Linked DNA regions of Tamandua tetradactyla. The protein of the gene in region 1 interacts with the protein of each later gene in a biochemical or structural test. Links are inferred from orthologs where the notes say so. Each region holds a gene or a part of one and is shown on either strand. Other genes may lie near its edges.

Evidence for each region.
Region 2: of the proteins of ATXN3 (region 1) and CAPN2, one has a biochemical effect on the other in vitro, tested with the Homo sapiens proteins (2 studies listed by BioGRID). The link is inferred for Tamandua tetradactyla from reciprocal best matches to the Homo sapiens genes ATXN3 and CAPN2.

Annotation. Positions count from the first base shown.
Region 1 is NC_135338.1:52,940,066-52,956,720, reverse strand, and holds the start of ATXN3 (ataxin-3), read left to right. Parts: upstream 1-7,670; 5' UTR 7,671-7,746; coding exon 7,747-7,770; intron 7,771-16,655. UniProt on the Homo sapiens protein: Deubiquitinating enzyme involved in protein homeostasis maintenance, transcription, cytoskeleton regulation, myogenesis and degradation of misfolded chaperone substrates.
Region 2 is NC_135328.1:137,672,008-137,688,211, reverse strand, and holds the start of CAPN2 (calpain-2 catalytic subunit), read left to right. Parts: upstream 1-9,408; 5' UTR 9,409-9,563; coding exon 9,564-9,800; intron 9,801-14,268; coding exon 14,269-14,338; intron 14,339-16,204. UniProt on the Homo sapiens protein: Calcium-regulated non-lysosomal thiol-protease which catalyzes limited proteolysis of substrates involved in cytoskeletal remodeling and signal transduction. Proteolytically cleaves MYOC at 'Arg-226'.

The DNA.
Region 1 (16,655 bases):
CAGCAAAATGATGAGTTACAAAATCAATATGCAAAAATAAGTTTTTGCTGATTTCTGTACACCAGCAACAGCAATCCAAAAAGCAAATAAAAATATGACATTTACAATAGCAACTAAAAGAATAAAATTTGTGATATAAATTTAGCCAAGAATGTAAAGGACCCTAATATGGAAAACTACAAACCATGACTGAAAGAAATAAAAGAAGACATAAATAACTGGAAGGATATTTTATGTTCATGAATGGAAAAATTAGTATCATTAAGATGTCAATTTACCCAAAACCATGTACAAATCCAATATAATTCCAATAAAAATTTCAACAGCCTTCTTTACAGAAATGGAAAAGTTAGTCATCCAGTTCATATGGAATTGCAAGGGACCACAAATAGCCAATCCATCTTGAAAAAGAAGAAAAAAATTAGAAGACTCACACTTCCTGATTTCAAAACTTATTAGAAATCTACAGTAATCAAGGCAGTGTGGTACTGTCATGAGGACAGAGACATAGGCCAGTGCAAAAGAACTGAGAATTCAGAAATAAACTGTGGTCAACTGATTTTTTTACAGGAATGCTAAGTCTACTCAATGGGGAAAGAATAGTCTCTTCAAAAAATGGTGCTGGGAGAATATGTATACCTATATGCAAAAGAATGATGGTAGAGTCCTACCTCGCACCAGGCACAAAAATTAACTCAAAATGATCAAATAATAACTAAAATATAATTTGATAAATATAAGAACTAAAACTGAAAAATATGAGAAGAAAATATGGGGGAATATCTTCGGAACCTTGTATTAGGCAATGGATTCTTAGATTTTGCACCAAAAGCATGAGAACAAAATAAAAAATAAATTTAAAATTTTTGTATATTAAAGGGTATTATGACAACCTACAGAATGGGAGAAATTTTTGGAAACCATATCTGGTAAGGGTTTATCATCCCGAATGTATAAACTGCTCCCACAGCTCAACATCAGAAAGGCAAAAAAATAAATAAATAAAATGCAATTTAAAAGTGATCCAATGATTTGAATAAACATTTGTCCAAACAAGATATACAAATGGCTAATAAGCACATGAATAGATGCTCAACATCATTAGCTATTAGGGAACTGCAAATCCAAACCACAATGAGATACCACTTCACAATAGAATGGCTATGATTAAGAAAAGTGAAAACAGTAAGTATTGGTGAGGATGCAGAAAAATAGGAACCTTCATGCACTTGGTATAAATAAAAAATGGTGCAACCACTATGGAAAACAGTTTGGCAATTCCTTAGAAAGTTAAATATAGAATTACCGTATAACTGGCAACCCCACTTTTTGGTATATACCCACAAGAATTGAATGCAAGAACATGAATAGATAGTTGACCATTGTTACAGTCTAACTCTTGGAGGACTTGGGTTGGGGCAGCCTGAAAATCAAAGGACATGTCAGGCACAGAGTTAGACATGAGTTTTATCAGGACTTTGAACAGAAGATTCTTTCCGATGGTAGCTGGTTGGGAAATGGAAGTTAGTGCTCTGCAAAAGGGGTGAGGAAGATTTAGAACAAGGGCGTGAAAACAGAATTTCAGCAGGGTCTTGTGACACAGGGGGTTAGAGGTTACCAACAGTGTTCAAAGTGGGGAGAGATTAATGCTTTGTTTACAATATTATCTGTACATTTTTTCACCACCACCACCCACAGGAGACTGTGGCAGATGGTCAAGCTATGTAAATAGCCTTGTGGGAGCATGGTGAAATTTGCTTTTTGTTCTCCTTCCCAGGTGAAGGTAAAAGCAAGTTGGCCTTAAAGGGAATACTAAAGAAGGCATTAGTTAAATCTAAAACAAAGTGATAACAACATAATTGAGCGCTAATTCCTTGTAGTATAGAGGCAATCTTCAGAATACTGCATACAAAGATGGCATTACTTTAAGCTCCTCTGAATGGAGCACAGTAGCTTTTGTCACATGTACTGCCTTGTTAGTCATCCAAGCAGGGGCCATGTTATGGCTGATGGTGTTTCTCGGTCTCCTTTTTTTCTCACTCAAATTTAGTTGTCCTACTATCTGCTGCAAAACAGTTAGCAACCCCACTGGAGTTTTCAGGACTTCCCCATACTCTTGTGGTGGTTCCCATTCATCTAGAGGGCAGCCACCCCTCTGCACATGGACTATACAGGCCAATTTGGGATTTCTCCCACTGATTCTCCCTTCCAAAGACTCGTGCCTGCTGTTGCAAGTAGCTCTTTGGTCTCCTGGCTGGCCCATCAATTGTCCCAACCCAGCTCTCAAAGAGCTAGGGTCAACACAACCCCAAGACCAGAGAACACATCAAACACATCAGGCATAGAGTTAGACATGAATTTTATTGGGACTTAGAAACAGAAGATTCTTCTCAATGGTGACCAGTTGATAAATGGGAGTTAATTCTCCACAAAGCAGGGTGGGAGAATGTAAAGGCTTATAATGGTTTAGGACAAGGATGTGAGAACAGTTTCAGCAGGGTCTTGTGATACAGGAGTTTGGAGGTTTGTTATCAACAGTGATCAATGGAATGGAGTTTTTTTTTTAATTTTAACTTTTTTTATTAATTAAACAAATTAACAAACAAAACATTAAGATATCATTCCATTCTACATATACAATCAGTAATTCTTAATATCATCACACAGTTGCATATTCATCATTTCTTAGAACATTTGCATCGATTTAGAAAAAGAAAAAGACAACAGAAAAAGAAATAAAACGATAATAGAGAAAAAAAGATTATACATACCATACCCCTTACCCCTCACTTTCATTTACCACTAGCATTTCAAACTAAATTTATTTTAACATTTGTTCCCCCTATTATTTATTTTTATTCCATATGTTCTACTCTTCTGTTGATATAGTAGCTAAAAGGAGCATCAGACACAAGGTTTGGAATGGAGTGTTAATGCTTTGTTTTTGATACCATCTGTACATTCTGCCTCCCCCCTCCCTGAGGAGATATGATGACCGTTGACTTCTGTCCTGGTCATTGTAGGCAGCTATGTGCGGTAACTTATTCTCAATATGGAAGGGAAGCATGTGCCCTGGGTTTCCACGATGATCAATATTCATGATAGTACTTATCTCAATAGCCAAAAAGTAGAAGCAACTCAAATGTCCATCAACAGATGAATGGATAAACAAACATGGTATATACATACAATGGAATACTATTCAGCCAAAAGAAGGAATGAACTTCTGATATATGTGACAAAATGGATGAAACTTGAAGAAATCATGTTGAGTGAAATAAGCCAAACAGAAAAGGACAAATACTGTATGATTTCATTTATATGGAAATATTAGAAAATGCAAAGTGGTAGAAACAGAAAGTAGATTATAGATGACCAGGGGTAGGTGTGTGGGTGGTCAGGAATGGGAAATAATGCTTATTGGGTACAGCATTTTATTTGGGGTGATGAAACATTTTGTAATGAATGGTGGTGATGTAGCACAACATTGTGGATGTAATTAATACTACTAAATTGTATATTAGAAAGTGATTTAATGGATAATTTTATGTTTGTGTTTTTTTTAATGCATGGAGGAGTAAATATGACTGACCTGTGGATTGCCAACAAATCTGGTGGTGTTTGTGTTTTTTTAATGCATGGAGGAATAAATATGACTGAGTTGTGGTCTGCCAACAAATCTCGCGTGCCTAGAGAAGAGGGAATTGGGAGAGTTAAAGGTGGACATATGTTTGAGCCAGATCCAAAGAGCTTTGTAAGCGAGCAAAACTTTGTCCAAGGCAGGGGGTAGCCACTGTAAGATTTTAAATAGCAAAAGAACATTTGTGAAATTATTTCTTTAAGGATCCCTCCTAAAGTGTTAGGACTTTTTTTGGTCATTCAAGTCCCAGTGCCTGATGCATAATAACATTCTCTTTGTTAACAAAGATTTGCATCTTAGAAAGTTTACTGACAGCAGTATGAATCAATGTTGAGATTGGAGTCAGAAAACCAATTCAGAATTCCTTGGCCTGTAGTACCCAAGATACCAAGATGGCTCGAACTAAGCATTAGCAAAGAAAACAGATGGAAGAGAGCTAGTTGAGAATGGGCAATATTTGAGGCTAATTAAAATAATGACTGATGTGGAAGAGTTGAGGAGGAAAGAATAAAGAGCGACTCCAGATACTTGCCAGCATTAATTCATTCAACAGACATAAAAAACACTAGAGATAGAAAGTCAATTAAGACATAAGCCCTGCCATCAAGACGTTTATAGAGTTGATTAAACCAACCATTATGATATTATATAAATGGTACTATGTATGATAGAGACACATACAGGAACTCAGAGGCGGGATTAGGATGTGTAAATAAGTAGGAGATCAGGGAAGACTTCCTGAGAAGGTGATCATTGAGTTTTGCAGGGCGAGTTATCTTACAAAATTGGATAAAGTTGAAGACATGCTGAATTTCTAGTTGAGTTATTAATCAGAATATGTAATTCAGAAAATCTAATACCTAAGTCATATATAGCTTCAGGGGCAATGTCAATTGCCCCTGAAGCTCCAGAGCCTACATTCTGACTTCAGGCATTGATTTTTTCACTTTATAATGCTTATTATTACTGACTTCCTCAATCAGGCAAGAAGGCCTAATGAAATTAACATTAATTCAATATTTAGTGCCTGTTTTGCCAAACACTGTTCTAGGGGCTGGGGATTTAACGCTGAACAAAATAAAATCCTTTTGGAGAGTTTATATCCTAGTAACAGATTAATTGCATGTATTTTTCCAAATAATACATTAATATAAGTCAAATCAAGAGTTAAATTGTATACAGTGAAGTCTCCCTCCCACCCCTGTCTCCAGTTTGTCTAGTTCCCTTCCCATTTCACACATGTACCTCTAGGTTTCCTTTATAGTCTTCCAACAATTTGTAATGTACATGCACAAAAAATAAATTTGTATTTTCTCCCAGGGACACACATTTTTTTCTTAAACAGATTGTTTTTCACTCAATGAGACTGTGATTTGTCAATCCCTAATTAGGCCACAGTTCCTAATCTGTACTGTTTCCATAATACAAGAACTGTATGCTGTGGACACAGAGATGTTCAATAAATGGTCTTGAAAACCTGGTCCTCACCAGCAGTCCCCATTTCCTATCTCCCGCTGCCCCTTCTGCTCTTCTGAATGAACCTGCACTCTCCAATGTCACCAATAGATTCCATGGCAACAAAACCTAGTGTGTTTTTTTGTAAATCCTTATGTGGCTTGACCTCTTTGCAGCAACTGACGCCGGGTTGCTCCTTGAAACACGTTCTCTTTCCAGGGCTTCCATAATAGTATGCTCTGCTTTTCCTCCCTCCTCCGTGGTTGCTCCTTCTCTATCCTTAGGTTTCTTTTAGATTCTCTTCTCTATGTTTTCCTTTCCTCAAGATGATCTTATTCACTTCAATAGTTTCAGCTACCTTTTTTATGTGACTCCCTGGTTCTACAGCACAAACCAGCCTCATGATCTCCAGACCCAGACACTAATCATCACCACTTACTTGAATGTCTTACAGATATTTCAAATTAAACATCACAAAGATTTAAACTTTTCACATTCTTCTTTTCCCAAAACATTGCTCCTTCTCCAGTATTCTTTATATCAATAAATAACACTCTTTCCCAAGTGGCTGCCTAGGATAGTACAGTGGTTTGGAGCTGTACGTACCCCAGGAAAAAAAAAACACAACACAAAACACATGTTCTTAAACTTAACCCATTCTTGGTGAGTGTGAACCCATTAAAAGTGGGATATTCTGATGAGGGTCCATCAGTTAAAATGTGGCCAACTCAATCAGGATGTTCTTAATCCTGTTACTGGAGTTCTTTATAAGCAGAACAAAAGTCAGACAGAAAGAGAGAAAGCCACGGGAAACAAGAAGCTGAAGTTTAACGGAACCCAGAAGAGAAGGGAGAGCCAGGACTGGCAGCTATTGCATTGCCACACAACAGAAAAGCCAGAACCAAGGATCACTGGCAGCCAGCCACAGAATGCCAGTCTCTGGGACGAAAGCATCACCTCAATAATGCCTTCATTTGAACTTTTTCTTAGCCTTAAAATTGGAGATGGAGTGAGGCCATTCAGAGTGATAACTAGGAAAATATCACTAATTTACATAGTTCATATATTCCCATTGTATAAGCCAAACCATTTGTGCTGGTTTGAGGTTATTGTGTACCCTAGAAAAGCCATTTTCTTTTTCCTAGTCCAATCTGGTGGAGGCAGACCAATTGTGGGTGGGACCTTTTGATTAGATGGGTTCCATGGAAATATATCTCTGCTCATTCAAGGTGGGTCTTAATCTGTTTACTGCAGTCCTTTAAGAAGGTCCCATTTTGGTAATTCTCAAAGCTGACACAGACACTTTTGGAGATGAAGAAAGAAACACCCCCCCCCCCCCCCGAAAGCTGTTTGAAACTAGAAGCCCGGAGAAAAAGCTAGCAGCCATTGCCATGTGCCTTCCCAGCTGGCAGAGAAACCCCGAATGTCATCCCTGCCACCCCATTTCTGGTATAGTACATTTCTGGCAGCATTAACAAACTAAAACACCATTGCATGGTATTTACTTGAATAGCTAAGGAAATAAAGCAGATACCCAGGAGTGTTCTCTGAGTCTTCCATATCTTTCTCCCCACTCCCTAACCGAATTATTTTGAGTGTCCCTATTTCTTAATTATCACTCTGAATGGCCTCACTCCATCTCCAAGCCACTATCCTAGTCCAGGTCACCATCATCATCGAGTCCAAGATTCCTTCACCAGCAACTGCTCTCTTCTGGGACTACAATGATCTATCTGAAAAATAAACCTGGATATGTCTCTTTCTCTTTAAAATACTTTGTTTAGTTCACCATTAACCTTAAAAGGTACACCTTTCTTAACCTAGTTTCAATATGTAAGATTTGCTCCTAACCTATCCCTTCAGCTTCATCAACCACCAACACTTTACTGAACTTATTAGTTGACCCCAAATGATACTTCGTCTTCAGGGACAGAGTACTTTCACTAGTACAAGCTGCCTGGATTTGAACCCTGGCATGGCAACTTACTAGTTAACTTTGGACACTGTGCTATTCTTAACCCCTCTGGGCTGCACTTTTCTCACAAGTGAAATAGGGATGATACTAATACCTACATTAAAGCTTGCCATATTCAATTTGTTGATATACGGAAGGCTGGTACTAATGTCTAGCCCATAGTAAGCACTACATAAATATTAACTATTTTTTTTACACAAAAATGATACAATGATGCCTTTTCTCTGAGGTTTTAAGTGGAAGAGGCCGTTAGATATTAAATATTTATATGAAAAATATAATATATGAAAAGCACACAGTAAAGTGAAAAGGAAAAAAGACCATAAAACCCAATGGTCCTTATCCAGAGCCTTATCCAGATGGCTTAAAATCCAACAGCAAGGGTGGAAAAGGAAGAGGATCCTCCAGACGGCAGGGGGCGCTGCACTAATACGAGCCAACCAGCTATCAGGAGATGGAAAGCTGTGCACAAAGATCACGTGTCCTCACGTTTACCGCCCGGTGTTCACACGCTCTGCGCTCCACGTGACTTGCATTCCAGGAGATGATTGGTCTGTGCCAGACACGTGAACAGGGGGAGAACAAGGCGGAGCGGGGTGGGCGGAGGGGTGGGGCCAGGGGCGGGGCTGGAGGGGGCTGGTTCGGTACGGGGGCCGTTGGCTCTGGACAAATAAACATGGAGTCCATCTTCCACGAGAAAGTGAGTGTCCGCATTCGGTGGGGCGCTGCCTGCGGCGCGGTGGCGAGCTTGGAATGTAATATTGCCGTCTTCCGGAAGGCTGGGCTGGGTGGGACCTGAGTCGCCGTCGTCCCGGCTTTACGGGGCGAGGGGCCGCTCCCGAGCCGCCCGCCTCCTCCGCGCTGGGAGGGGAGCTTTCCTGCCCCACTCTTAACCCCAGAGGCCCCTGCCCCGGGATACCCAGGAGCCCAGAACCCGGGACTTCCGGGTATCCGGGAGGGAGTGAAAGCAGGGCCCGGGGCACTTCGGAGCACGAGTTAGGGATGGCACCGAATGGATTGGCTTCTGCATTTCTCCGCCAGTTTGCGTAACCTTTTCGAAAATTCATTCTCCACACCCTGTCGCCCACTCCCAGATTCTAGCTACATTCTCCTCGCGAAACCTCCCTGACCCTTCCCAACTCCAACTCACTCCTAGTCCTGGCAGAATTAACTTTTTCTTCTCTAGACTCCTCAGTCCTGTTTTAGACTTTCCCAAACACTTAGATCCTTGGGCTTCAAGTCTTTCTCCCGCTTTAGGTCCATGAGCTTCCCAAGCGCAAGGACCTTGACTCGTCCATATGTAGGGTTTGACACTTAAAGAAGTAAAGGAGGAAGCCCCGTACTCCCTCCTCGTCACAAGAATTTTTGTTACAGGATGTTTGGGTTTGGTTTCTTTGTGTACTCCCATCTTTCCTGTTTAGGAAGCCCGCTTTGTTACTAGATGATAGAAGTGGACTGGAATAATTTCGTTGTGGTGGTCTGCCTAGCCTATTCTCGCTTTGATTCTTAAATGACCACCCACTTGAAGTTATTGTTTGTGGCATGTGGAGAAACTCGTTTCTTTAAAAAAAATTTTTTTAAGATCTTTTCATTTAGGGTTTTTACATTTATGTACCTGGTCTTAAAATTTTGTTTGTATTGTGATAACAGAATCTCATCTTTGCTCACATACAATTATCAGTTCATTCGGGTATGAGTGAAACCTTCCTCAGGACAACTTTTGCAAATGATAACTTGTTTCATAACAGTTTCATGTTTGAAAAGGGTTACTGGTGAAGATGTTATTTATAGGAACATAGGGTTTTTGTTTTATTAAATACTTGTAAATGTTCACTTATGCAAGACATTTAAAAATACACACATATGCACATACATGACAAAGACAAGAAGCATAGTGACATATGGGATGCTATGTTTTATAGAACACATTTCAGAAAGTTTTGAAACTCGAGTTGACATTTTTATATGTTGGGGAGAAAGGACTCATAGGTATAGTTACTGTTGATCTTTTGACTTGGTTGAAATGAGTTATGAATCTTACACCAGAGGAATTCAGTTACTTGGTTAAGGAGATTTATGTGAAGAGAACCCTGCCTGTGCGTATTTTTGTTAATTTTCAAAGGGTTTGGTGGAGCATCAAGATGTTTCGATATGTAATATTTTAAGCGTTTTCACACACTGCTGCATGAGAATTAAACAGTGTATTTTAAACAATATTGATTGTTACTACTTTGGATAGATTTCTGTTATGTTTACTACTGAACCATGGGACCAAAAGAAGCTGGGCACTAGCCTAATCTTCCCTAAAAGAAGTCCACCCTCAACTATTAGCAGTGTACAGATTTAAAAAGTAGGCTCCCTGCCCAACTACCAACACATACGTTTCCCCGCATCCATTTATATATGCTTAGCGAATGAAGGCTCTTAAAGTTTTTCAGGCATGTTTTAAGAGTGTGGAAAGTACCTCCAACCATAAGGCCCATCATTAATCCCATACACGGACTTTTCTGGCAATGTATGTGCTTTATATGCCATTTTCCAGGGTATTCCCTTCCTCCCCCCAACCCCCCACTCCCTTTAACCCTTGCTAGGTCCTGGGTTTGAAGAGCCAGAGAGTCACTTTTAGCCTTGAAGTTGTGTAGGCAGGGATACCTGCCTTCAAAGGGCCTTGCAACAACTTTCACTTGGAGCATTGGCTTCCCAATTTTCAAAGTTGTCATTTTGAATATTCAGTAGAATGTAAACTCAATAACTGTGTGGCTGTCACATAGTAGGCACTCAATAAATATTTAATGAACCAAGAAAGTTCTTTCAGCATTAGATGTGTATGATGCTGTTTATTTAAAGTAAGCAGTAGTTTAGGCCTTATAGATCATGTAGGGTCTCCATAGCATAGTCTTCATTGTTCTGTTTTGTTTCCAACCATTAAAAAATGTGAAAACAATTCTTAGCTACTAGCATGGTTCGAAATTGGCATGTGGGCTGTAGTTTGCTGACCCCTATCTTAAATCCTAATACTAAATGGCTGCTAACTGCTGGCTGGGGTGTTTGGTTTTAGTTCTGGAGACTGCCTTCTGTCATTTTTCTTATTGCTTCCTTTGCTGACTACTCTTGATGTGGTCACTGTGCCATCTGATTTTGGTAACTTTTAATGTAATGTGAACTGGGAGTGATAACCAGACTTGTTGAAGGCATATTTAAAGATAGTAAAAAGATGCTGAACATTGACATAGTGATATTTGTTATGCCATCTTTAGAATTTTTGAGGTTTAGGAAGAACCAAATTCCATATAAGTAAGTGACTTGTTGTGGTAATGGCACAAACTGAATCCACTGGCCTGGTTGTGAACCCACAGCTACTATCTGTGTGATCCTCAGCAAGTTACTTATCTCTGTGATAGTTTCTTCTTCCATAGCATGAAGATAAGGTGTCTACCTCAAATTTATGAGTGCTTAGCATGCTGTCTGGCATAAAGTCAGTGCTATAGGAGTGTTGACCATTGTTTGCTGAATCTTGTAATGAGTGAGGGACACTAAGAGGAGGTGAAGAACTGCTGCTGGATTGATTACTTGCCTTTGATTCATCCATTTCTGAGGCACCCTTAGATTTTTGCCTGGTTTCTGTTTTGGTTAGTAGTATCACTGGGTGTTTGAACTAGTTTCACGTTGATCTTGAAATCTTTTGGGGGGAAGTGATTTGATTGCAGTTCCTTTTTGTGTTGTTGTAAGATATTTGGTAGAAGTGGAGATTCAGTTTGCTCAATTTCTGATTCTGTCATCACAAGACAATAAAGTCTGAGCCTGAAATCATGGGATTGAAATACTTATTCTAGCAAATCAGAGTTCTGTTTGATTTTGGTTAAAGCTTAATAATGACTGATGATTCATAAAGAGGAGGCTGGGAATAGTTTCTTGGGGAAAATACACCATCTTGGGTGACACCATTGTATGATATTTTTCGGTCCATATAGACTTTGATTCATTTTATGACTTAAAAAGCAATTTCAGATTTGGGCTGGACAGTCTGTGCTTTGAATCATTTTTCCTTCCATTAAATCATAGTAGAAGTACAGGACTTGCTGATATTATTTCCTATAGCTATACAGTTTTATTAGACAAAGTTTACTTTTAAATGCTCATTTTTCATATTTTAAAGATAATTTTAATATAGATTTTTTTGATCAGATATTTTACTGTCATTAAATCTGTGATATTAGTATGATGACCATAGTTTGAGAAACCCAAACTATGAGGCATGTGGCCTGTCAGCAGGACAGAAGATTAGTTTTAATATTGTTCCCAGAAAATCCATTGCTGGTCACCAGTTTAAGTAGTTCTTGACGTGTAAAATAGCTGTTTCTTACCAGAGCCTTTTTTGTTGTTGTTTGGACTTTTTTTTTAATTAACTGTAACACATATAGGAGTACACAAATCTGAGTTTTTTCACAAAGTGAACATTCATGTATAAACAACACTTAGATCATTTACCTGCAACCTAGCAGCTCCTCTTGTACCTCTTCCAGGCACTGACTTTCCCTCCACACCCTCCGCTGCGAGGGTTACCACTGTCCTAAATTCTAACATCATGGATTATTTTTGCCTGTTTTTTATGTTTTTGATTTTGTTTTTTAGTTTGTATTGAAGTAACATATATACGACATACAATTTCCCATTTTAACTACTTTCAAATATACAAGTCAGTGGTATTAATTAAATTCACAATGTTTTGCCACCATCACCGGTTTCACTTATTTTTGAGCTTATGTGAATAGAATCATACAGTGTGTACTCTTTTGAACATGTCTTCTTTTATTTAACATTGGTATAGTTAATTCATTCTTGTGGATGTATAGTATTCCTTTGTAAATGTATTTTATTCTTTCTACTTTGATGAAGCTCTCATAATGGCAGCCATTATGAGTAGAGTTTCTATTGACAGTGTTATACAATGTCTTTTGGTAAATGTATATTTATGTGCAACAGAAATATGTGCATTTCTGTTGCATTATGTAACTAGGAGGAAAAGTGCTAGAATGTAGGGTATGCATATGTTGAGTTTTAGTTTTTAACATTTTTTATTAGAGGAGATGTATGTTTACAGAAAAACCATACAGAGCATAGAGTTCTCATATACTGCCCTCTAACCCCACCCCCACACAGTTTTCCCTGATGCTAATGCTTTGCATTAGTGTGGAACCTTTGTTACAATTTATGAAAGAGTAGTGTTATAATTGTACTATTAACTATAGTCTGTAGTTTACATGAGTTCGCTGTTTGTGTTTTACAGTCCTATGATTTTTTTGCAGTTTTCTAGTAATATATATACAACCTAAAATTTCCCCCATTTAGCCTTATTAAATATATAATACAGTGCCATTAATTACGTTCACAGTGTTGTGCTACCATCACCACCATCCTTTACCAAAACTTATGCATCACCCCAAGCAAAAATTTTCTCCCAAGTAAGCATGAATTCCTCATTTCCTACCCCTATTGGGGCCACTGGTAACCTATATTCTTGTCTGTTCTAGTTTCTGACTCTACGAATTTATCTAATTATTTCATATCAGTGAGGTCATACAATACTTGTCCTTTTTTGGTTTGGCTATTCATTCAACATGATATCTTTAAAGTTCATACATGTTGTCACATGTATCAGAACTTTGATCCTTTTCATGATTGGATAATATTCCACTATATGTATATACCACATTTTGCTTATCCATTCATCTGTTGATGGACACTTGGGTTGCCATCTTTTGGCAGTTGTGAATAATGCTGACATCGACATCACAAATATCTGACTCAGTTCCTCCTTTCAGTTCTTTTGAGTACAAAGCTAGAAGTAGGATTGCCAGGCGTTATGGTGATTCTGTATTTAATTTTGTTAAGAACTGACAAACTGTCCAGCGGCTGCAGCACTTTACATTCCCACCAGCAATGAATGAGTGTTCCTAATTTTCACATCCTCTTCAATATTTATTTTCTTTTTTTAGTAGTAGCCTTTCTAATGGGTATGAAATGGTATCTCATGGTGGTTTTCATTTGCATTTCCTTAATGGCTAATGATGTTGAGCATCTTTTCATGTGCTTTGTGGCCATTTGTAATCTTGTTTGGAAAGATGTCTAGTCAAGTCTTTTGCCCATTTTTAATTGGGTTGTCTTTTTATTTTTAAGTTGTAAAAAATCTTTATATTATATATATTTATTTTTAAGTTGTAAGAATTCTTTATATTATATATATCCAAACCATTATTGGATAAGTGGTTTCCCAACATTTACTCCCATTCTGTAGGCTTCTTTTTACCACTGTGATGAAGTTCTTTGATGGACACAAGTTTTTAATTTTGATGAGGTCCCATTTATCTGTTCTTTCTTTTCTTGCCTAATTGTTCTACTTAGAATTTCCAATGCAATGTTCAGTAACAGTGGTGACAGCAATGTCTTTATCTTGTTCCTAAAAGCTTTCAGTCTTTTACCATTGCATATGATGTTAGTGTGATTTTTTTCTACATTCCCTTAATCATGTTGAGAAAGTTTCCTTCTAGTCCTAGTTTTTGAATGTTTTTATGAATAAGGGATACTGGGTTTTGTCAGATAACTTTTCTTTATCAACTGAGGTGATCTTGTGTTTTTTTTTCCTTCATTCTAGTAGTTCATTATTACATTAATTGGTTTTCTTATGTTGAACCACCCTTACATTTCTGGGATAAATTCCTCTTAATCACGGTATATAATTTTTTTAATCTGTTGGAGTCAGCTTGCTAGTATTTTGTTGAGGATTTTTGCAGATGTATTCATAGGGAAAGTTGGTCTGTGATTTTCTTTCTTGTGGTATCTTTATATAGCTTTGGTGTTAGGATGGTGTTGGCCTCAAAGAATGAGATGGGAAGTGGTCCCTCCTCTTCAATATTTTGGAAGAGTTTAAGTACGATTGGTGTTAATTCTTGAAATGTTTAGTAATAAAATTCACTAGTGAATCCATCTCCTCCTGGGCTTTTTTGTTGTTGTTGGGAGGCTTTTGATTACTGACTTAATATTCCTGTTGCTTGTCTGTTGAGATCTTCTGTTTCTTCTTCTGTCAATATAAGTTTGTTTCTAGGAATTTCTTTCATCTAGGCTATCTATTTTTTGGCATACGGCTGTCCTTGGAAATATCCTTTTATACTCCTCTTTATTTCTCTGGAATCAGAAGTAATGTACCCTCTTTCACTTCTGATTTTAGTTATTTGCATCCTTTCTCCTTTTTTCTTTCTTTTCTAGCTAAGGATTTGTTGATTTTACTGATCTTTTCAAAGAACCAACTTTTAGTTTTCTTGATCCTCTCTATAGTTTCTTTGTTGATTATTTCATTTATTGCTACTCTAAACTTTGTTTCTTTCCTCTGCTCACTTTAGTTTAATTTACTCCCTTTTTCTGTCTTCTAGTTGTAAGGTTAGATTTCTGTTTTGAGATCTTCTTTATCAACATAAGTCTTTAGAGCTATGAATTTCTCTCTCAGGACTGACTCTACTATATCCCACAAGTGTTTCTATGTTGTATTTTCATTTGCCTCAAGATAACTTTCTAATCTCTCTTGTCCTTTCTTCCTTCACCCATTGGTTGCTGAAGAATGTGCTATTTAATTTCCACATTTTTGTGAATGGTCCACTTCTCCATCAGTTACTGCTTTTTTTTTTTTAACTTTTTTATTGTATAGTATAATATATATACAAAGCAAAGAAATAAAAAAGCAGTAGTTTTCAAAGCACTCTTCAACAGGTGGTTACAGGACAGATCAGAGTTTGTCATGGACTACCATATGATCCTCTCGTATTTTTTCCCTCTAGTAGCTCCAGAATACAGGAGGCTAAAGGGTTTAAGTATTTTTTATCATCATGATTGACTTTTTCCTTCTTTTTGTGAAAAATAACATACATACAAAAAACTATACATCTCAAAGCACAACACCACAATTAGTTGTGCAACATATTTCAGAGTTTGACATGGGTTACAATTTCACAATTTTGGGTTTTTACTTCTAGCTGAATCCAAAATACTGGAGACTAAAAGAGATATCAATTTAATGATTCAGCATTCATATTCATTTGTTAAATCCTGTCTTCTCTGTATAACTCCACCGTCACCTTTGATCTTTCCATACCTCTCTTTAGGGGTGTTAGGGTCTGTCACTAATATGGGGTAGGGACTTGGAACTATCTGATTTTCTGAAGAGGCTAGGCTAGATTTCAGGACTTATCTGGACCAGGGACCCATCTGGAGGTTGTCAGTTTCTGGAAAGTTACCCCAATTCATAGAACCATTGTGGAGTCTTATGTATTGCCCTAGGTGTTAAGATTGGCTGGAATGATCCTGGTTGGGGGTTGGCAGGTTATGATAGGTAGCAAGGTCTACCTGAAGCTTGTGTAAGGGCAACCCCCAGAGTAGCCCCTCAGCTCTATTTGAACTCTCTCTGCCAGTGATAATTTATTAATTATACCTTTTTCCCCCTTTTGGTCAGAATGTAATTGTTGATCCCATAGTGCCAGGCCTGGATTCATCCCTGGAAGTCCTCTCCCATGTCACCAAGGAGACTTTCAACCCTGGATGTCTAGTCCCACGTAGGGGGGAGGGCAGTGATTTCACTTGCAGAGTTGGGTTTAGACAGACTGAGGTAACATCTGAGCAACAAAAGAGGTCCTCCAGAAGTAACTCTTAGGCATGCCTATAGGTAGTTAAGCTTCTCCACTACCTACATAAGTTTCATAAGAGTAAGCTTCATGATCGAGGGCATGGCCTATTGATATGGGTGTCCCTAAAGTTTGACGCAGTATCAGGAGATCCCTGATGGTAAGGTTTAATAGTTCAATATTCTTTCTCCCCTTGCTCAGGGGACTTTGCCAATACTTTCTGATTATCTGCTTAATATATTCTAGAATGTTTCCAGGCATTACAGTAATCTATGCAGGATTAAAGGACCTCTTTCTTATTTTGTGCTGCCTGTGTTTCAGTTGTTCAAATGAGCTATGCAGATAGGTTGAATTAGATTATACACTACAGTAAATTTCAGTTCCAGATAAACCTTTCTTTCGATGGTCTCCAAGAGTATGTGTGGTTCTAAAATATAGACACTGTCTTCCTTACCCTTGTGTTCTGAATTACTTTAACCCCAACCTGTTCAGCCTCGTTCTTATCTCTAAATACCAGATTATATATATAAAACAGCCTCTCAAAATCCGAAAATAATAATCACCACTCTAGACTTAATGTGTCTGCTCTAAAAGCTTACAATCGAGGCCCCTGTTTTCTTATAAGCATTTTCTAAAGTTGACCATACCATCGTTGTTTTTTTCTTTCTGTCTTCTTTTATCTTACCAAATGTCCCACATGTTCATTCACATTATTGCATGCCTCACAACTTTGTTCCTTTTTGTAGCAGCACAACCTTCATTCCTAAGTATACACCATTATTAGCCAGTATAATTCTCCATCAGTGCATCCTTCAGCCACTTGCATTCATTGGGCATCATATAGAGGACCCAAAGTCCATGGTCCATCAGCTTTCTCAATTTTAGGTAATTTCATTGTTCCCAAGAGTAAGAAAAC
Region 2 (16,204 bases), on another chromosome or scaffold:
TGTACAGAAGTAACACACTGTGTTAAATATGTAAGGGCTTATCAACATGGCTTTGATTATAGAAACTAATAAAGTATTCTCTAAATAATGAAAAAAATGATGGAGGTATTTTCATATTTATGTAGCCATGTATATTTTCTACTAACTTTGATACCTCACATTTATTTCACCCTATTTAATTGCCACTATAATTTAAACAACAACAACAAAAAATGCAATCCCAAAATGATTTTAGAACATGTGTTTGAATAGTAGTTTTCAGTTTGAAGAATAACAGTTGCAGATACTAGGTTGATAATCAATTATCTTAACTTTGAAAATATGTATATATTAGTTATAAGAGTTTTTAATTAAATACATAGACAATTTCTCAAATGACAGATTTTGATGGCAAAATACATAGAATATTTTTACTGTGCAAAAAAGTTATGTTTTGAACATTACAAATGAAAAGGTTTTATGATAAATTTTATAAATTAAGCTGGGTTTTTGGTTTGGTAAAGCTGTTGAAACACCATATACCAGAAATGGGTTGGCTTTTAACAATGGGGATTTATTAACTTACAATTTACAGTTCTTAGGCCATGGAAATGTCCAACTCACAGCATCAACAGGAGGATACCTGGACTCTGAAGACAGGCTGCCAGCATCGGGGGCTCCTCTGTCACATACTAAGGCACATGGCAGTGTCTGCTTTACCTTTTCTCCCCATTTCATTGCTCCAGTGGTTCAGCTTCTGGCTTCAGTGGCTCCGTTTCTCAACTTCTCTGGTGCTCTTCTCTGTGTGCTTCTCTTAATTTCATCTCTTTTAGCTTCTCTAAGAGAGATACTTTATCCTCTTATAAAAGACTCCAGCAAGAGGATGAAGACCCATCCTGAATGGGGCGGGTCACATCTCAATTAGAAATAACCTAATCAAAGATCCCACCTATAATATGTCTAACTCACAGGAACAGATTAAACAAACATGGCCTTTTCTGGTATACATATATATATTTTATGGTATATCATAGTTTCGACCTACTGCTCTGGGAGAAGTAGAGGAAACCCCAACTTAATGAAAAGATGTTTTCTAATTTCTGAATGGAACAGTTACAGCTAACTAAGATCTATAATAAAGAAAATGTCATGTTAAATATATATAAAAAAATTATACGGAGCATGGAACTAGTAAATGATTATAGCAAGAATAACAGGTTAATATATAAAAGCCAATTGCTTTCCTGTATACTAGCAATGAAAAATTGGAATTTGAAATTAAATAAAAAACACAATGCCAAAAAAAGAAACAAAAAGAAGAAATTCTTAAGTATAAATCTAACCAAATATGTACAAGATCTATATGAGGAAAACTACAAAACCTTAAGGAAAAAGTCAAAGATCTAAATAAATGGGGAGACATTCCATGTTCATGGATAGGAAAAGTCAATATTATGAAGATGCTAAGTCTTCCTGAATTGATTTATAGCTTCAATGAAATCCCAATCAGCATCCCAGCAAGTTATTTTGTGAATTTCAACAAAATGATTCTAAAGTTTATATGGAAAGGCAAAAGACCCAGAATATCCAACACAGTACTGAAGAAGAACAAAGTCAGAGACTAGCTTCAAAACTTACTATAAAGCTACAATGATCAAAACAGTGTGGCATTGGCAAAGAATAGCCAAATAGATTAACGACCAAACTGGAAAGCCCAGAAATAAACTGACACAAATACAAATATAGTCAACTGCACTGTGACAAAAGAGCAAAGGCAATTCAATGGAGATAGTCTTTTCAGCAAAGTTGTTAGAAAACTGAACATCTATATGCAAAAAAAAAAAAAAAATCTAGACCCAGACCTTACACCTCTCACAGAAGTTAACTCAAAATCATTCATAGAGCTAATGTAAAATGTGAAACCATAAAACTTCTATAAGATAACATAAGAGAAAATCTAGATGGCTTTCAGTTTGGGAATGATTTTTTTTTTTTTAGATACACACCAAAAGCAAGAAAAAAATTGATGTTGGACTTCATTAAAATTTGAAACTTCTGCTCTGCAAAGTACACACAAAGAAAAGAGAAGCTAGAGACTGGGAGAAAATATTTGTAGAATATATATCTGATAAAGGACTTCTGTAAAAAAAATATACAGAATTCTATATCTGACTTCCGGGCCAAGATGGTGGCTAAACAATGTGCGCATTTTAGTTCGTCCCCTAGAACAACTACCAAATAACCAGAAACAGTACAGAAAGCTCCTGGGGCCACGTCAGTGACCAGACACACAGCGTACCCCAGTATGGACTAGCTGGACTGGCTGCAAGCCCCCCCCAGAACCGTGAGCTTCCCAAGCTGTGCATGGCAGCCGGCGCCCCTCCCCCACAGACTGCTTCCGAGAGGGGAAAGGAAAGAGACTTTACCAGCAGCAGGGGCTGAGCCCAACCAAACATCAATTGTGGAATTAAGTAACAAATTCTGACAGCTAAAAATAGGCCCCCAGCTCAGGTGAACCTGGTCAAAGCTGAGGTTGCTCATTTTAGCCCCAGCGCCAAGGGGGCAGGGCTGACAAAAAAAGGAAAAAAAAGAAGGAAACAGGTTTTTGTGGCTGTGTTTCTACAAAGGCTTGACTGCCTTTGGATATAGAGGCAGGGCTCCTCAGGCTGCATCTGCCCCAGGCATAGGCAGAAACAAGCTCATTTGAGGCCTTGTCTGGAGCCTTTGCCTTCCGCAGGGGAGGGGTGAAGCCCAAGGAATCCCTCCCTCAAGGAATTCAGACCCCAGGGCTTGGTAATTTGAAGCCATTAAAACCAGCCTACAACCTCTCCTCTGTTTCCACCACACCTCCAGCAGGGAGAGTCTGCCAAAGTTAAAGGTGCCGCATCATCTTATGCTGGTGGGACCTGCAGGCAGACAAGTGCCACATACTGGGCAGGATAAGAAAAACAGAGCCCAGAGACTTCACAGGAAGGTCTTTCAACCTGCTGGGTCTCACCCTCAGAGAAAACTGATGCAGGTGACTCTTTCCTCCTGATAGGAGGCCAGTTTGGTCTGGGAAAATCTGGCTGGGGTCTATAACACCTAAGTAGACCCTCCTAAGTGTGTGTGGGGGGAAGGCACCATACAAGCAGGGCAAGAAACAAGAAAACAAGAACTGAAAAATTCTCCTCTGTTAAACAAAACTTATGCTAGAGGTCCAGATGAAGCAGAACTGAATGTCAAAGAACAGACAGACAACAAACTCACCCAACAAGAAAACCCTAGATAAAAGAAGTGAAAGCAATCTCCAGAATAAACTAACTAAGGCAATTAAATGCCTAGATGCCAGCAAAAAATAACAAATCACACTAGGAAAATGGAAGATATGGCCCAGTCAAAGAAACAAACCAACAATTCAAATGAGATACAGGAGCTGAAACATTTAATTCAGAATATATGAACAGACACGGAAAACCTCATCAAAAACCAAATCAATGAATTGAGGGAGGATATAAAGAAGGCAAGAAATGAATAAAAAGAAGAAATCGAAAGTCTGAAAAAACAAATCACAGAACTTATGGGAATGAAAGGCATGGTAGAAGAGATGAAAAAAACAATGGAAACCTACAATGGTAGATTTCAAGAGACAGAGGTTAGGATTAGTGAACTGGAGGATGGAACATCTGAAATCCAAAAAGAAACAGAAACTATAGGGAAAAGAATGGAAAAATATGAGCAGGGACTCAGGGAATTGAATAATATGAAGCGCACAAATATACATGTTGTGGGTGTCCCGGAAGGAGAAGAGAAGGGAAAAGGAGGAGAAAAACTAATGGAGGAAATTATCACTGAAAATTTCCGAACTCTTATGAAAGACTTAAAATTACAGATCCAAGAAGTGCAGGGTACCCCAAAGAGAATAGATCCAAATAGACATACTCCAAGACATTTACTAATCAGAATGTCAGACGTCAAAGAGAAAGAGAGAATCTTGAAAGCAGCAAGAGAAAAGCAATCCATCACATGCAAGGGAAACCCAATAAGATTATGTGTAACTCTCTCAGCAGAAACCATGGAGGCGAGAAGACAGTGGGATGATATATTTAAATTATTAAAAGAGAAAAACTGCCAACAAAGAATTCTATATCCAGCAAAACTGTCCTTCAAAAATGAGGGAGAAATTAAAACATTTTCAGACAAAAAATCACTGAGAGAATTTGTGACCAAGAGACCAGCTCTGCAAGAAATACTAAGGGGAACACTAGAGACAGATATGAAAAGACATAAGAGAGAGGTGTGGAGAAGAGTATAGAAAGGAAGACTATGAATAAAGGTAAAAAGAAGGAAAATTAGATATGACATATAAAATCCAGAAGGCAAAATAGTAGAAGAAAGTACTACCCATGCAGTAATAACACTGAATGTTAATGGATTAAACTCTCCAATCAAAAGCCTGGCAGAATGGATTACAAAACAGGACCCATCTATATGCTGTCTCTACTCAAAGGACACGAGGCCAAGGACACAAATGGACATTTACACACCAATGTTTATAGCAGCACTATTAACAATTACCAAGAGATGGAAACAGCCAAAATGTCCATCAACAGATGGGTGGCTAAACAAATTGTGGCATATACATACGATGGAATATTATGCAGCTGTAAGACAGAGTAAAGTTACGAATTACGTAACAATATGGATGGACCTTAAGGACATTATGCTGAGTGTGATTAGCCAAAAATGAAAGGTCAAATACTGTATGGTCTCACTGATATGAACTGACATTAGTGAATAAACTTGGAATATTTTGTTGGTAACAGAGACCATGAGGAGATAGAAATAGGGTAAGATATTGGGTAATTGGAGCTGAAGGGATACAGATTGTGCAACAGGACTGAATATAAAAACTCAGAAATGGACAGCACGATATTACCTAACTGTAATGCAATTATGTTAAAACACTGAATGAAGCTGAATGTGAGAATGATAGAGGGAGGAGGGCTGAGGCATAAATGAAATCACAAAGAAAGATAGATGATAGACTGAGGTGGTATAATCTGGGAATGCCTAGAGTGTATAATGATAGTGACTAAATGTACAAATTTTAAAAATGTTTTTGTATGAGGAAGAACAAAGGAATGTCATTACTGCAGGGTGCTGAAAATAGATGGTAATTAATATTTTAAAATTTCAACTTATGTGTGAGACTAAAGCAAAAAATGTTTATTTGGTGCAAAATTTATATTTTGATTAGTTCATCTCCTAATAAAACTTATGTAGATAGTTGGTTGAACAACCTAAGTACATGGAACCTTGGGTAGGATATGAGATGTTGGTTTGTCCAGAGTGATACCAAGATGAATCCTAGAGTGATTTGATCAGTGAGTGGAAAAGTATTTGCAAAGTCCCCTTCGGAGAATGGTGAGAACGGGGGAAAATTCAACCTCTCCAAGTTGAATTCTTGATATTCTCACAAGCAGTGTGGACAACCAAAGCTATAGGCTGAGCCCCCAGTCTTGGGGTTTGTTCATATGAAACTTAACCCCACAGGGGATAGGTCAAGCCTACTTAAAATTAGGCCTAAGAGTCACCCTCAAGAGAACCTCTTTTGTTGCTCAGATGTGGCCTCTCCAGCCAACACAACAAGCAAACTCACCACCCTACCCCTGATAGGTGGGACATGACTACCAGGGGTGGACCTTCCTGGCAACGTGGGACAGAAATACGAGAATGAGCTGGGACTCAGCATCAAGGGATTGAGAAAAACCCTAGAATGAGCTGAGACCCAGCATCAACAGACTGAGAAAATCCTCTTGACCAAAACGGGGAGGAGTGAAATGAGACAAATTGTCAATGGCTGAGAGATTCCAAACAGAGTCGAGAGGTTATCCTGGATGTTATTCTTACGCATTTTAAGTAGATATCACCTTGTTATCCAAGATGTAATGGAGAGGCTGGAGGGAACTGCCTGAAAATGTAGAGCTGTGTTCCAGTAGCCATGTTTCTTGATAATAATTGTATAATGATATAGCTTTCACAATGTGACTGTGTGATTGTGAAAACCCTGTATCTGATGCTCCTTTTATCTACCTTGTCAACAGATGAGTAGAACATATGGAATAAAAATAAATAATAGGGGGAACAAATGTTAAAATAAGTTCAGTTTGAAATGCTAGTGATCAATGAAAGGGAGGGGTAAGGGGTATGGTATGTAAAATTTTTTTTTTCTGTCTTCATTTTATTTTTCTGTTGTCCTTTTATATCTTTTTCTGAATTGATGCAAATGTTCTAAGAAATAACCATGATGATGAATATGCAACTATGTGATGATATTGTGAATTACTGATTATACATGTAGAATGGAATGAGCATATATTAGGAATGTGTTTCTTTCTTGTAATTTTTTTAATTAATAAAAAATTTTTTTTAAATATACAAAGAACTTGCGAAACTCAACAATAAGAAAACAAACAACTCACTTAAAAATGGGTAAAACATTTGAACAGACACCTCACCAAAAAAACATACAGTGGAAAATGAGCATTTGAAAAGATGTTCAATATCACGTCATTAGGGAATTAAAATTAAAACAACAATGACATGACACTACACACCTATTAGAATTACTAAAATTCTAAACACTGACAACACCAAATGTTGACAAAGATATGAAGCAACAGGAACTCTCATTCATTGCCGCTGTGAATGCAAAATGGTACAGCCACTTTGGAAGAGAGTTAGGCAGTTTCTTAAAAAACTTACCATATGACCCAGTAATTGCACTCATAGATATTTATCCAAATGAGTTGAAAACTTATATCCACACAAAAACCTGCACATGGATGTTTAAAAGCAGCTTTACTCATAATTGCCAAAAATAGGACGCAATCAAGATGCCCTTCCAAAGGTTAATGGATAATCAAAGTGTGATATATCCATACAATAGAATATTATTTAGCAATAAAAACAAATGAGCTATCAATCCACAAAAAGATGTGGAGGAAATTTAAATGTTTATTGCTAAGTGAAAGAATCCCATCTGAAAAAGGCTACATACAGTACAGTCCAACTATATGACATTCTGGAAAATGCAAAGCTATAAAGACAGTAAAAATATCTGTAGTTGCCAAGTGTTCAGGGAAAGGATAAGAAAGATGAGTAGGTGGAGCACAGGTGCATTTTAGGGTAGTGAAAACATTCTGTATGATACTGTAAAGGCAGATATATGACATGTACTTGTCAAAACCCATGGAACTATATGAGGCAAACCTAATGTAATGGACTAACGGACCTTAGTTAATAATAATGTATCAATATTGGTTCATCAGTTATAACAAATATACTACACTAATGCAAGATGTTGATGATAAGACAAAGTATGGAAAGCAAGAAGGCATATGGGAACTCTCCATACTTTCTGCTAAACTTAAATTTTCTGTAAACCTAAAACTACTCTAAAAAATAAAGCCTATTAAAAACATATGAAAACAAAAAAAATACAAGAAAACAAATAAAAAACATATATGAAGCAAAGGAATATTGAAATGGATGTTCAAATATACATGAGTGTACTTTTTCCCACAAAAGGGAGGGTAGTTCCATAATTGGGCAGAATTCATTTGCATGTCTTAAAAGGAGAATTATTTTACATTGCTACACTTATCTGCAACTAAGAATTTAAGATAATTAAAAAACAATGAAAGGATAGAATCAGATAATATGGAAGGAGATGTTCTAAACCAGAGTTTCTCAACATCAGCATTATTGATATTTTGGACCAAATAATTCTTTGCTATGGGGAACTGTCCTGGACAGTGTAAAATGTTTAGCAGCTTCTCTGACTTGTACCCAATAAAGAGCAGTAGTAACCCCAACCCCCTCAAGCCATGAAGCTATGACAATCAAAAAATGTCTCCAGACATTGTCAAATGTCCCTTGGGGTAGGGGTGGGAGGCAAAAATTACCCCCAGTTAGAACCATTGTTCTAGACAATGCAATTTTCCATTGAAACACAAATTCTTCCCTATATCCAGAAGAAGCAACCTTTTCCAATCCATACATCTTTAGCACATAACCCATTTCTCTCTGTGAGCTGACAGAATCGCATGCTGTCTCTCCCACAGAGCGGTTAAAGAAACAACTAGCATGGGCACTGTTCTAAGTGTCCTACCAAGGAGCAACTCAATGCTCAATGAATTCCTCCAACTATTATTGTTCTCATTTTAGAAATGGGGAAACCGAGCCACCGAAATGTTAGCTAACTTGCCCAAGAACAACACACAGCTACTAAATAGTAGAGTTGGGATTCAAACCCAGGTGGGCTGGCTTCAACATCTATGTTTTAACCACAGACTCACCTCCACCCCCACCTCCAACAGAGCCTGGCATGTAATAAGACGCTGAAAGATGCCTAATCAATGAAGGAATCAAGTTGCTAGCTTTGGAACTCTTTCCTAACCCTGAGCCTCCTAAGGCCGTCCCAGCTGGCCTGCCATTGCATAGCTAGATGCCCCAGAGTTAGAGGACCATGAAACCTCCTTGATTACAGTTCAAAATGAAAAACAAGCACCCTTGGTTAAATTTGAATTTCAGGTAAACAAGGAGTGGTCTTTATTATTATTATTATTTTTAGTATAAGTATTTTCTGTGCAATATTTAGGACATATATATATAAAGGGGGAATTTAATAAGTTACAAGTTTACAGTTCTAAAGAAGTGAAAATGTCCAAGTAAGGCGCCAACAAGAGGTTACCTACACTCAAGAAAGGTGGATTGGTCTGGAACACCTCTTTCAGCTGGGAAGTCACGTGGAGGACAATATTCTTAATACACAAAAGTATTCCTTGTTTATCTGAAATTCAAATTTAGCTAGGCATCCTGTATTTTTATTTGCCAAATATGGCAACTCCACTTGTGATATTATAGCTGATCAGTAACAGTGTAGCATCGCGACTTCTAGTCGTGCCCCGTTCACTTAACCTCTCTGATCCTCAGTTTTCTCATCTGTAAAATGAGGACAGTACAGTACCTTCTTCAAAGAGGTGTTGGGAGGATTAAATAAGGTAACATATATAGAGCCTAGAGCCAGTAGTACGGTGTCTGGCACAAAGCAGAGCCCAATTAATGGTAGCTAGTCTAATCCTAGCTCCCTAATTTCCTACTGACTCATAAGGTGTTTCCAGGATAGTTAACAATTATCCCAGCCTCGGGTTTCTCCCAGCCTTCCTCCCCGGAAAGTAGGAAGTTGGCAGCCGGGTCTTGGATTGAGCCGCAGTAGCCCAGCCCCGCCGCGCCCCTCGCGCCGCCCCGGGAGCGGCCGGCAGGTGGCAGCACAGGCCTCGCGTGCCGCGGTCCCCGGCCGGACCTCCCCAGGCCCCGGGGGGAGCCGCGTCCCGGGCCGCGCCGCCGAGCAGGCCGGGAGCGGCCGAGGCCACACCCAGGCCGGGCGGGGAGCGTTTCCCCTTCTGGGTGAATCATCTTCCGCAGCTGCCGCTCCCGCAGTCCCGTTGCAGCGCGCCCAGGCCTCGTCAGCGCCCCTGACCCGCGCAGGGAGCCAGACGCCCCCACCCTCGCTCCTTCTCGGGCCGGGGACCAGCGCCATGGCGGGAATCGCAGCCAAACTGGTGAAGGACCGGGAGGCGGCCGAGGGGCTGGGCTCCCACGAGAAAGCCATCAAGTACCTCAATCAGGACTACGAGGCACTGCGGGACGAGTGCCTGGAAGCCGGCGCGCTCTTTCAGGACCCCTCCTTCCCGGCCATCGCGTCTTCCCTGGGCTTCAAGGAGCTGGGACCCTACTCCAGCAAGACGCAGGGCATCGTGTGGAAGAGGCCCACGGTAGGAGCGCGGGCGCGGCCGGGTGCAGGGCGGGGAGGGGGCCCGGGCCCCCCGGTGCCAGGAGCACCCCGCGGTGTGGACGGAAAGCAGCACCGGGGAAAGTCGCAAACCAGAGTGAGCCTTCCGGCTGACTCGCCCCGGGCTGCCTCCATCCCGTTACCCTGGGCCCCGAGGGTAGCCTGGATCTCCGGCGCTCTGCGGTCCTCAGAGGGGTTTGGCTCCCTCTTCCACTCCCAACACCCAGGACGGGTCGTGTCGAGGTGGGTCTCTGTCCTCAAATCCCATTGCAGGTCTGCTAGGGGAGCCACCTTTGAACTTTGACACAAGGGGGGAGATAAGTTTTATTGGACCCTGGTGGGAAGATGTTGGGAAGTGGGTTGGGGGGTTCGCAAGAGGCAGTCTCTGACAAAGTCAGTCTCTACCTCCGCTTATCTCTTCTTCAGGAGCAGGAAAAGTCCAGAGCCCACTTCGTTTTGTGACTAAGTATTGTGTCACACAGTTGAAGTGGTTAGATGTATCACTCAGAGTTTTATGTTCACTTTTCTAAATGGGATTTAGCAAAAACGGCCTGTAATGTTTAAATTGGTGATTAACAAAAGACTTGGGAGATGCTGCAAAGAGCAAGTTTATCATCCTTCCAGTGCCCCAGAAACCTCACCTGGAGAGCTTTTCCAGCCCTTACACCTGAATGTCCAGCCTCTTAATCTAGATGTCCATTTAGTTTCCCAAGAAACCCCTGCTAGCTCCTGCCCTCTCCTATAGGACATGTCACCAAGCTACCTCCACCATCCCTAAATGAGGCTTCCTGGGAAAGCCAACCTTTAGATTCCTAAAGGAATAAGCATCCCTGCCCTGCTTCTACTCCCCTGAGCCTCCCAGGTCACCCCACTGTTATATTCAGACAAGTCACCCAACAGTTGGAGATGCTTGTGGGACTTCTGAATGAGGATATAGAGATCTTGAGGGTTGTAATACGTTATGGATTGGGACCTCTTCATTTCAGGGCAGCTACTTAGAGTATGGCAGACTGTACTACACAGCTGAGGGGGAGGTGTAGCTGTTATTATTCTCATGAGGCAGTTGAAGGCGTTGAAGCTTCAGGTATACATGGTGGTACCAAGTTTCTAACCTGTGCGTGTTTTGAGCCCTCAACTTTACGGTTGCCCTCACTGCTTCTGTCTGTCCTACCACTGTCAGACTCCACTGTGGTCAGGCAAGAAAAAAGAAAACTTCCAGCTGGATGTGTCCATTACCAAGACTTTAGCAGAGCAATTTCAAGGGAAAGATGGCAGTAGAAGCCAGCTTGCATTAGGCGGAGGAGTAAATCTACTCCAGAGAAAGGTACTGGGAACAAGGGAAGAGAGACAGGAATGGGTAGAGCGGGGCCTAGGGTGGGAGAGGCTGGTATTTTCTTCACATGAAAGCACCTTATATGTGCTCTATATTGAGCCACCAGAGAAGAAGGAATTAAAGATAAAGAAGAAAGGAGGTAATCATGAGACAGGATCCCTGAGGAAATAGGAGTATAGGGTCCTTGGAGGACAGGGGTCTGTCTGGTCAGCCTTGGCGTGAATAGGGACTGCTCTTCCTCAAACAGAGGTTGGTTCTCCTGTGGGCAGGGCCAGAGGGCTAGAAGACAAAAGATTTTACAATATTGGCAAGAGAGGGCCTCCAGGAATGGGAAAAGGAATAAAGCAGAAAATGGCTGAAGTCACGGTGAGCTCCTAGGGCTGGTGCAGGAAGCATAGTAAGGAAAGAACTGTCATGATTGGAGGATGTCACCTCAGAAGCTCCCAGCTACAGACAGTCGGGTAAGAGCAAGGGCAGGTATTTCTATTCCCCATTCTTCCCCCTGAGGGAACCAAGCCTCTGAAGTATTCACAACTCACTTATTTTGCACTGGTTGAATTCAGCCTCAAACCAACATCTCCTGCCTCCAAGCTCAGGGATTATCATCATCAAATTTTTTCAAAATAATGCTGGTGGGAGGTAACATTTATAGAGTGCTTACCAAGGCATATTTACATATTTATTTCATAACCCTGAAAACCTCTGCAGTAGATATACTTGTCACCATCTCCATTCTACAGATGAGGAAACTAAAGCATAAAAAGCTAAGTTTCTTACCTAGCATCATAGAGCCCATCTGAAGTGAGTTTGAATCCAAAGCCCAAGCCCCCGACCTCTTTCCCCTGACTGTTACAGCCAGTGTTTAATGCAATGCCCTAATGCTGTGCACAAGTTTTGGCTTTCTGGATCATCTCTAAACACCACTCTGAAATTTGACTTTTTTGGAGAGACTGCCAGAGGCATGAGAAAGTTTCTGAAACATGATGGAAAAATCCTTCAGGGGAAGTGCTTGGCACATTGAGGATTATCAGTATGAGTGTCCATAATAAAGAGGCTCCTAGCACTAGGCAGCCAGATAAGTGCTCAGTTGGCAGGCCTCAGGCAATGCAGGTTTCTTTTGGCTCGCAGAAAAGCATTCTCATTGCCCCTGGCATTCCCCAAACAGATTGACCTGAGCAGGGATAGAGACAATGCAGAGGCATTAAAGGCATTTGCTCTGCAACTGAGTGTGGCTCACGAAGAGCCTCTACAATCCAAGCCAGCTTGGACAGGGCCTGCATCCAGCAGATCTCAACCAAGAAATTGGGACCGAGGCACCCGCATATGATGCTCAAACAGGCATGAGATGGAAGAGCAGCTTGTACAAACCAAGGTTGTCCAAGCCAAGAACAACCCAGATTCATGCCCCCAACTTCCTCTGTGGCTTTGGGGTGGAGCTCTTATGAATCAGGAAACACACTCAGAGAGCTACTGAAAGAGTCTGAGCCAGAAGTGTTCAAGGTTGGTTTCATCCAGCCACTTGTGGTACGGTCGTCCCTGGGGTTTTAGTGCCCTTGGAGTCCTGTTACTAATCAATTAGTGGCTGTGCAGATGTGAAGAGTGTGTCATCAGAGTAAGACCGGTGAATTCAAATCCCAGTACCAAGCACCATCTATCATAATGAGTTGTGTAACTTCAGAAAAACCTCTTTACCTCTTTGAACCCATTCCCTCATCTGTAAAATGGGGATAATACCCATCTTGTGTTCTTGGAAGAATTGCATTAGATAAAGCATCAAGCACAATATGTGAATCCAAAGCCCAAGCCTTCAACCCTTCCCCTGATTGCTACAGCCATGTTTAATTCAGTGCTGTATTACTGTGCAAAAGGGTCACTTTTCAGAAGCATCTCTAAGCACTACCTAACATATGGATGATCCAAGTATTATTGGGACATCCCATAAATCATGGAAGAATTCAGAAGGCTCCTAATGATACACTTCCATGCCCTCAAGAAATGTGTACGTGTTAGGAAGACAAGAGTAATACCCATGAACACCAAAAGACAATCTGCCATTAAGTGCTAAACTGCAGAGTACAAATACTGTGAGTATCAGAATCAAGGGGAGGGGTGTGGGGATAGATTACGAAGGAAGGCTTCATGGAGGAGGTGAGAGTGAGCCTTGAAATGTGGGAAGATAAGAGAAAGGAGAGAACAAGGCAGGAAAGGGAGGAGTTCCATGCAAGCAAAACAGCTGCAGCGTTATTCACAACAGGCCAAGTTTAAAACATCGTGACCATCGATGAATGGATGAATGGATGAATACAGCATGGTATATACATACAATAGAATATTATCTAGCTTTAAAAGGAAATGAAGTTCTGATCCGTGTACAACTGAATGAACTCAGAAAACATCATAGCCAGTGAAATAAGCCAGACACAAAAGGACAAATATTGATGAATTCACTTTTATGAGATATCTAGAATAAGCTAATCCATGAAGATAGAAGGTCAATTAGAGGTTACCAGGAGCTGGGAGGATGGAGGAATGGGGAGTTACTGCTTTATAGGTAGAGTTTCAGTTAGGGGTGATAAAAAAGTTTCTATAATGCACAGTGGTGGTGGTAGCACAACATTGTAAATGTTATTGTCACTAAAGTGCACTCTTAAAAATGGTGAAAATGGCAAATTTTATATTATATATATTTTACCATGTTTTTAAACACTTTGGTAAAATTGAGAAAAAAAATACTTGCATTCAAGGACAGAGGAGCGGGTACAAGCATGGCAGACAGGGTGGCTCCAGGTTATAGAGGGCCTTAGAGTCAGAGGAGACTGGGCTTGATGCTGCCACAGCCACCAGGAAATAGCAGGTGGATGTAGGCTCTAGGCAGTGGGAATGTGTGTGGTCGGTTACTGCTCTTCTCAGTCAGATGCGTCCACCACCCACACCCATTGGGACCCCCGGAGCAGGGTTCTGCCATGGCAGCAGAACAGGGGCTTCCCTTGAGGGAGACATTTCCCAGGGGGGAGGGAAAGGGGGAGAAGCGGTCCAAAGTACCTCTGGGGAACTGAGGCATCCAAAATGCAAATGTGCATGCACGGTGGACTAATAGGTCTGTTGGTCTCGTTCCCAGGAGATCTGCGATGACCCCCAGTTCATTGTTGAAGGAGCCACCCGTACAGACATCTGCCAAGGAGCCTTAGGTAAGTGGTGACATCCAGAGCAAGTTGTGGGGTTGGGTCTACAAGACCGGGGTGAAGGGAGTGACGGTGGCTTCTCTCCCTTTCAGAAGAAGCTTAGTGATTTCCATTTCCAGCTTTCTGAGCTCCTGGAATTTCTTGTCCCCAAAGGTAGCAGTTCTACCCCCAACCCCATGCCAAGCACACCAATGCATATGTACAGGATTGAGGGACTCCTGGGCCCCAGCACTGGGCTAGTTCCTGGGGTTACAAAGATGCTCCCCCGGAAGAATTGAGGAGCTCCTGATTTCAGCCACCAATTGGTCTCTGTATCCTCTGGAGCCAGTGTCACCAGGTGGCCTGTGAAATGGTCAGGGTCTGGGCCGAGGGCCGGGTGGGAGGACACCTCCAGGCCAGTAACAGGTTTAAGATACCAGTGCTCTGAGGTTCAGGGACAGGGGAAGGTGACTCAGTGTGAATGAAGAGAAGACCCTAATGCTCACTGCTGAGAGGAAGTCCAACTACCACAGAGTCTTCAGTGTTTGCAAGACAAGCTCACCATGGTTTCACAACAGTAGGAAGCGGTGTATTTCCTTGTAAAGGCAGTTGGAATGTTTAAGTAAAGCTAACTGGAGTAGCTGAGTGTGAAGGTCTACAACTTTGCTCTCTGAAGGTGAGTTCTGATGTGTTTTTCTGGATATAGTGCTGTCTGTGGATTTGAACCCATAGTCCTCCAACTTTAGTATGAAAGCTACCAAAGAAGTCCCAGTGGGGGCTGGGACTATTATTTAAAATTCTCATAGAATCCACCCTTGATTTATTTTTGTTGATGATAAATATGGGTCTGTAATTGCTTGAGCAGATTATTTGTTCTGGTAAACGAAAAACTTGTTTCCTGCCACCAGTTTCAGCTAGCTCCCCAAACGAGTTCATCTTGTAGTCCCTTTTCTCACTTACCTAGCGGAGATTCTAATACTCATAATAACAACTAATATCGATTGAACATTTACTATGTGCTGGAAATTAAACTGTACTTGAGAAAACGCTAAGGTTTTTTGATAATTCCCATTTTATAGATGAAGATTCCGGGGTCCTAGTAACTTGCTTAAGGTCCCCTGAAGTAGGGACCTGGTGTGCAGATGCATTCAGGCGGGTCCAGGGCTTGTGTGCTTAGCTCCTGAGCTAGACTCCTGAGAAGGAGGCCTGGAAAAGTTCTCACCCCCGAACGGATGTCAGGCAGCTATGTGAATCATTAGGACAGGTACATGGGAGCCCGGTAGGAAATTCCTCTGAGGGAGACCATGACGCAGGACTGGGCAGCAGAACCAAGCTGATTTAAGTTCAGTGCCCAGATTCCTGAGATGCCAGAGCACGTTCTCACCTGCAGAAAGCATGGCTCCCCATTTCCACCTTCTGTCTCCCATTTCCCCCTCTCCCTCCAAAAGAAAGAAGGCCAGGCGTCCCCAGGTGTCTAAGGTGGGTGCTCTGTGGAAATCCATTGTTTAGAGAAGAGGGAAGATAATGGGGCTGGAAGTTGATGGAAACGTCACCCAATCCTGGAGGGCTTTAGAGACTCCAGAGACAAATGTAGCAACTGCCACACCTGTAGTAAACACCACACCTGTACTAAATATCTACTTCAGAGCTTAACAACATCTTCAGAGCCAAATTGCAAGTAATGAATGCCTGATGTAAGTCTTGTTTAAATACTACCAGGCCATCCGGAGAGGAAACAAGCAAAGCTTACGTTCCTGGGGCGGATTTCCCTCCTTGTGCACCAAATCAAATAAAATAGGGTTAAATGTAAGCCTTTTGAAAGTTTCTCAGTAACGGGCCTGTAATTTTTAAGGTGTTTTATACCATGTCGGCCTTTTTTGTTCTCTTGGCCTT